Linked DNA regions of Tribolium castaneum. The protein of the gene in region 1 purifies or fractionates together with the protein of each later gene. This does not show direct contact. Links are inferred from orthologs where the notes say so. Each region holds a gene or a part of one and is shown in the gene's direction. Other genes may lie near its edges.

What was found. Proteins that work in one complex are often made in the same cells at the same time.
Region 2: the proteins of UBX domain-containing protein 1 (region 1) and Cul1 purify together in Homo sapiens (affinity purification with western blotting; 3 studies listed by BioGRID and IntAct, with this or other methods). This does not show direct contact. The link is inferred for Tribolium castaneum from reciprocal best matches to the Homo sapiens genes UBXN1 and CUL1.

The regions. Positions count from the first base shown.
Region 1 is NC_087395.1:21,641,280-21,645,604, forward strand, and holds UBX domain-containing protein 1, read left to right. Parts: upstream 1-1,406; 5' UTR 1,407-1,738; coding exon 1,739-1,791; intron 1,792-1,840; coding exon 1,841-2,676; intron 2,677-3,509; coding exon 3,510-3,550; 3' UTR 3,551-3,797; downstream 3,798-4,325.
Region 2 is NC_087396.1:22,572,622-22,575,747, reverse strand, and holds part of Cul1 (cullin-1), read left to right. Parts: intron 1-1,381; coding exon 1,382-1,600; intron 1,601-2,482; coding exon 2,483-3,031; intron 3,032-3,079; coding exon 3,080-3,126. UniProt on the Homo sapiens protein: Core component of multiple cullin-RING-based SCF (SKP1-CUL1-F-box protein) E3 ubiquitin-protein ligase complexes, which mediate the ubiquitination of proteins involved in cell cycle progression, signal transduction and transcription.

The DNA.
Region 1 (4,325 bases):
CCCCAACTGGACCGTGCCGCTGCTCGCTGTCGACTGAAGCGCTCTCGCCGCCTGCGCCGCACACCTAACCTCGTGACACGTCACGGACGTGACGTCACACAAGCTTAAAACAGTTCATCACCAGAAATATTCAGTGGCAAAATCCGTCAAATTTAAAAACATTCATACACAGAATTATGCAAAATAGAACAGTATTGATCTAGAAAAAGTCATTACACGAAATGTATTTGTCTAGAAAATCATTAACACCCAAATCAAAAACGTAACAGAGGGCGCTGTTAAAGGTAGAAATGTAAAGTCCCTAGATTTATCGAAATGGTTTCCTAAATATTCAGATTTTTAATGGCAGTGGTCTGAAATTATAAAATAATCGTAGTTAATGGAAAAATAAAGACGCATGTTTTTATTTAAACAGAAACTGGCGACGTGAAATTTTCTGCCCTTGCAGAGGATATTTAGGGTAGGAATTTCTACCTTGCATTAAGAATTTCAATGCTACTGCCAAATAGGGACAAAAGTCTCCAGAAAATTTAGCTCTAGAAAAAGTAGGGTTAGGATTGTTGTGCTCACTTCTGAAATGTTAAGTTTTCACTTTAGTGGACTATTTTGTGTGTCTTTCTGCTCTTTTAGAGCGTTATTAATTCTTATTGAATATGTAGGGGCAGATCAATCTACCTTGAATCAAAAACGACAACTTCAGTGTTATTCATAAAAATGTAAATTTTAATAATTGCAAGTCCAAGTTGCCAGAAGGTTGGTTGGTTGAATGACTTTGGTGCAAAGAACGAATGTTGACAAATTAGAGATGACGAGAAAAACACGAATAACGAATGACTGTTTGTTCAATTAGGTACTTTATTGTAAAATTATTAAAAGCACATTGAAAAGCCTACCTTTTGGAACAATATACTTAAATGTATGAGCAGTTGTTAATCTTAATTGCAGTTTTGTGGATTCACTCAAGTATTTCACACACTTCAACAATTATTGATTAGGCAATTGTTTTAATAACACTTTGTTGTCAAAAGTAAAATTTCTTTAATTTTATATCAACTTTTACATTACAAACAAAAACATTTGATAATTACGAAAACTCACAACCAAAAGCAACGCTAGTATTTACCACCACATACTTTTAGATTGACTCGCTCTAATGTAAATACACGCAAAATTGCTAAATATTCATTAAATAAGAAATTACGAAAATTTCGTTACTGTTTTCGGCAAGAACGACATGTCGTCACCTGAGGGCGTCTAGATAATTTTATTCCCGAATTGATGCACGTTTCTGGTAATGAATTTTCTAGATAAATACTGTCATAGGCAGCATCCAGTGCCTAAATAAATAATGTTCTGTTTTGAATGATTCTGTGAATGAATGTTTCTCGGTTTGTGCGATTCTGCCAGTGAATGTTTCTAGGTATGTGCTTTTCTGTTGATGCCAAGTTCTAGACGTAAATTTTCCTAGATCCGAACGCGTCCCCAAAATTAACCACATTTTAGGAAAATATCGCGTAAACTCATTGTTTTTGATCAAAAACGTTGAGGACACGTTGCGAAACCGTCCGAAATACAAGTTTAGTGTTGTTTGTGCGTTTATCAGCTGATTGCATTTTTGCCGGTGTTGTCACATCAGTATCGTTGAAATACGCATTGCATGGTGTCGTTTTACGCGAAAAAGTCGGTTTTTCGACCAGTTGTTTAGTCAAATTCGTAGTGCAAAGCCCCTTATTAAAAAATGTCGGGTACTGTGGACACCTTGGTCGAGATGGGCTTCAGCAAAGCACGAGCGTAAGCCAACACGTCATTGCGGTTCAAATTACCATTAAAATGCTTGCAGTGAGTTAGCAGTTTCCAAAACCGGGACCGAAGACATCCAGGTTGCCATGGACTGGCTGCTGTCCCACGAGGAAGAGCTGGAGGACATGCCGGAGCCCCCGCAAGCCGCCGACGCCTCCGCCCCCGAAGCGCAGCCCAGTCCCGAGGGCCAAGTCGTCAGGTCCTTCAAATGTGACGACTGCGGCAAGCTGTTCAAGTCGCAGGACGAGGTGGAGTTTCACGCCACAAAGTCGGGCCACGAGCACTTCTCGGAGTCGACGGAGGAGAAGAAACCGCTCACTGAGGAAGAAAAGAAGGAACAACTGGCGAAAATCGAAGCCAAGCTCAAACAGAGGCGCATGGAGCGCGAAGCGCGCGAGAAACAGGAGGCCCTGGAGAAGGAACGCAGTCGGATCAAGTCGGGAAAGGAGCTGCTGGAGGCCAAGAAAAAACACGACGAGATCGAGATGAAGAAGCTTGTGGAGCAGCGAAAGCGGGAGAAGGAGGAGGAAAGGCTGGCCAGACAGCGTGTGAAAGAACAAATCGAACAGGACAAGTTGGCTCGGAAAGCGAAATTTTCGGGGCAACCGCTGGAGGAAGCCCCACAAGCTGCTACGCCGGCGCCCCAACCGGCGGCCCCCAAGCCGGCGGCCGGTTACTCGGAGGTTATGCTGCAGATCAGGCTCACGAATGGGTCGTCGCTTGTGCAGAAGTTCGGGGCCAAGGAGCCCCTGAGCGCTGTGAGGCTGTATGTGGAAATGAACCGAAAGGACGGGGAAGGGCCCTTTAGCCTTATGACGAATTATCCAAAGAAGGTTTTCGGGCCTGAAGATTACGATGTTCCTTTAGAAAGTCTAGGTAATTGCAAAACTCCGAAGGACTAAGAAATTTCGAGTACTTTCGGCTCCGAATTATTTTAAATTCAAAACATTCACCAGAACAATGATTTTGTCGAAAATAAACCAAAAAACTACCTAATTTTTTGAGGGTTTAAACAAGTTTGTGACAGATCTTGTATACAGTCACGGAATTATTTGCGAATTTTTGTTTAAAACAGGCTAGCGAATTTTGCTAAACAAGACCTAAAAATCACCAAAATGCTTGGCGCCTCAAAATGTTTTGCAATAGTTTACTGTGAATTTGTATATATTTTGTAAAACTTCGTTAAAAATAAGCGTAGAAATAATCAAATTACCTCGATAATTGTGTATTTTTTGCATTAGTCGGGGCTTTAAACACGTTTTTAAACTTACCGCCCGAAAAATTACTGTAATGAATAGAAAATATATCGTTTTTCTAGTGTTTAGGGGCTTTTGAGATAAAAAAGTTCACTAAATTGGGTCGCAAATGACAACATACTTCGTTTTCCCAAAGATAAAAAAGTCAACCATTTAGGGTCGAATATTTGACCAATTTTTTTTTTTTCATTTTTCGAGCATTTAGCCGGTTTTTGACTTAAAAGCCGCCTTTATTCTTCATGAATTTAGCGCCTCTTTTCACTGTAATTTAATATCTACGACTTTGTTCTTGTATTTTGCTCCTTTTGTACCAGAGATCACAAACTGGCAAAATTTTTGTTGTTTTTAGTGCTCTAATTTTTGTATTCGCTTTTGCGACGAAAACGCCTCCTAATATTTTAGTCCTCCGTTATAACCAATAAAATTTCCAAAAAATACAAGAATGGGTTTCAGGTTTGGGTCCAAGGGCCACACTCATCGTTTCAAAATCGTAATTAGGTCAAATGCTGCACAAACCTTATCTACTCTACCATCGTACGATATTAAAATTGCTTAAATAACGCTGGAACAATAGCTGGGATGTTCTTAAGTAACTAGGTGTAAGTATCTACAAAACTATACAAATTTATGTTGGAATATTTTTTAAAATATACATCATTTTGTAAGCCAGTAGCTGCTGTATAAAAATATGCAGCTCGTTGTGTGTGAAATCTTGAGCAGTAAATAAATTTTTCATATTTCCTTGCCGAGTCGCTCCCTAAGAAACGGTAAATAAAACAACCAACCATCGACCACATTTTATTTTCAATTATTACAATTAATGCTCTCCTGTTCAGACTTAAATCAAAACAAATGAATTTCTACAACTTACCACGTAATTACAAAGACCGGTTTTATGCAAATTAACGAGTGAACTGAAAACCATGACAATTATTCCTAAAATCTAGGCATGTTTCATTTCCCCCCACATTCGTTTTATTTGTGTTCTTAATTTAATAGTTACGTCATTACGAACAATTGATGATTCTTAAAAAAATAAAACTGACTGCAAGAACTCTACTCACGATAAAATTAAACATTACGTAAGTAGAGTTCCTGCAATTTCACGCCTTATTTTGATGCAGGGACTAGGCGGAGTTGTGCAATTGTTTTGCATTTTTACACACGTAATTAATGTGCTTTCATTGAAATATTGAGTTACGTAACTGTAGACAACTAGACAATTTATACAAAAAAATCCCCTACTTTGTGATATTTTACAGAATGTTA
Region 2 (3,126 bases), on another chromosome or scaffold:
CAATCGAAACAAACCCCTCGCATCATAAAAATTGAATTTGTTGCGAGTTGAACGACCACGTATTTGAATATTTCATATTTTTATAATGGTATCAATTACGCAACGTTATCGATTCGCCACAGATAAAAAAAAATCTCGTTTCCAACAGTGTTTTAACGTTAATTATCTTGAATGTTGTTTGGTCACGAGCTATGGCAATGGCGCCACATTTACTTCCGCTTTATTACAAAATTTCGGTGCAAGAAAGTAAATACGTTTTTCGGTGAAAATTCAGGTCAGCGATTATTTCCAGCGAAAGTTCAAAGGGTCGACGGATAAGAAGTGCACTTGGCAATAACAAAATCGGGGAAAAATACCGAAAATTGCAGAATTGTTGTTTTTCCTTGAGTGACGTTTCGTGCTGTAATTACCGCAGTTGATGCAAGACTAATTTTCGGTTGAGGAAATTTTCCGGTGACGCTTAATTTATCGATCGAGGGAATATCTGTTTTTGATTAAAAAAAAAAAAACGAAATGCCAGTGTTAAAATATTAAGTGGAAGCGTGGAGAAAGTGTGACTGAATAATGCACGAAGGGATAACGAAAATTACAATTTTAAATTGGTCAAAGGATGAAGTTCACATTTTATCATCGTTATCTGTTGGAACGACTCGTAAATTAGTTGAGACGGTTCAGGTCGTGTTAATCGAGCGCGGAATAAGATTGTGAAACAAGAAATTGAATGAATCATGATTTTGACGCAATAATCGCCAGCAAATCTTGACAGTAATAAAAGCCTAGTCGTGAATTGTTTTGCTTTTTATGAACGAACAAGTTGGAAAAAATCTATGATGAAATTTACTAAAATCTAAAAAAAATATTCGTTGTTGTGGTTTAAATAAAATAAACTGAGCGATTTGAGACAAAATAATTTCTTTGGAATTTTTTTTTTGTAAAGACTACAATGTTTTACGTTTACATGCAAATTCCAGTTAAACTCTGTCATTAACCTTGGTTAAAAGGTAATTATAACAATACGTGTTATTTTTAAACCCACCTTAATGGAATCTCAATTCGAATAAGACACCAGAGAAAGATAAAAAATTCGAGTGAATTATTCAGTAATCTTATCTGTTTTAACTGTTTGGAAAAAAAAAAACGTACTGGACAAATATGAATATAATTTTATTAATTTATGAATCCACGTTTGCGAACCAACTGCGTTTTGTTGTTTCGATGCGTATTGTTTGGTCCGCCGCACAAATAAAAACACAATTAACGCAATAAAGGCGGAAACAGACATGTAGCAAAACAAGTTATTATTGACGTGATTTGATTATTGCGTAGTAATTTCGAAACCGGAAGATTTACAAATCAATTTTTTCATTTTTTTTTCTGTTAGGACGGGATGAATCGGATGGGTGAAGGCGTTTTGAAATTTTATACGCGTCAATGGGAGGAGTATCAGTTCAGTAGCAAGGTTCTGAATGGTATTTGCTCGTATTTGAATCGACATTGGGTGAAGAGAGAATGCGAAGAGGGAAGGAAAGGAATCTACGAAATTTATCAGCTCGCACTGGTGACATGGCGAGATCATCTGTTCAAACAATTAAACAAACAGGTTAGCCACAAATTCGCGCGGAAAACTATCAATATTTATGGGGAAGGGAAAAACGAGGGGTCATCTACGGCTCACTGTACTTTATTTAACTTCTTTTTTTTTTATTTAATTTAGAAGGTGAGAACAGTTTCAAAATTATCCAAAAAGAACCGAAAAGTCGGCTAATTCAGCAGAAGGCGATTTTGATGAAAGCTTTAATAAATTTCAAAAATATATTTATAATCTCGGAGAGTATGAGTAGCTGAAGATCTGGAGCCTTTAGGAAGATTTGACATTTTGAATTTGAAAGATTACACTCCACATGAAGGTCAAAAAAACATTTAAATTTAACCCACTATTGACTCACCCTGTATGTGAATTTTCTCATATTTTTTCTACAATTTCTTAAAATTAATAAATTAATATTAAGGGCTGGTTTGCCTGAATGTTTTTGGTTACAATTTAATGTGAGATCATCCAACTTTTTGGAGGATTTTTTGAGGCTAGCTACAATGTTTTCTACGTAATTTTGACATAAATCAAAATTTGAAATATTTTTTTCAGTCGCTTACGATTAATTAATTTGTTTTGATTGCGTATAAGGAACTTGTAAAAATTTTGAAAAGATTTACTTGCATAGAGAAAAACAGGCATTTAATGTGTGTTTATAATTTTTTGCGATACGGTAAAAATAAACTTATTTTAGCCCACTTACGCTAGCTAATCTGGTATGGAAAAATCCTCAGAAAAATGAAATAAAAAAAATACTTCTGAGGTAATAAATAGAATTATATTAATTTTAAAAGTTTTGTTTTTGCTTTCGTTTTAAATTAGTAAATATTGAGAGTTTGCAAGCCCCTATCCGGGGCTGTCGTTTTTATTTTTCTCCCCCGTTCAAACCAGGTAACAACTGCCGTTCTGAAACTGATCGAACGCGAGCGCAACGGCGAAACAATCAACACTCGTTTAGTCTCTGGCGTGATAAACTGTTACGTGGAATTGGGCCTAAACGAGGAGGAACCAGGGGCCAAAGGACCGAACCTATCGGTGTACAAAGAGAGTTTCGAAAACATGTTTCTGGAAGACACTGAACGCTTCTACCTAAAAGAGAGTAACAACTTCCTAGCACAAAATCCGGTCACTGAATACATGAAAAAGGCCGAACAACGTCTCCTCGAAGAACAGAAACGCGTCCAAGTCTATCTACACGAAACAACAAGCGGCCGTTTAGCCAAAACCTGCGAAAGAGTCCTCATTAAAAAGCACCTCGACATGTTCCATTCGGAGTTCCAGCAGTTGTTGGACGCCGACAAAGACGAGGATTTGGGTCGGATGTACTCGTTGGTAGCGCGGATTCCGGACGGTTTAGGGGAATTACGGACGCTTCTCGAGCAACATATCGCAGCTCAGGGGCTCTCAGCGATTGAAAAATGCGGAGAAAGCGCCCATAATGTAACTAACTGTTACTACAACTCCCAGTTTTTAATAACCTGTATTTAGGACCCGAAAATTTACGTCAACACGATTCTGGAGGTGCACAAGAAGTA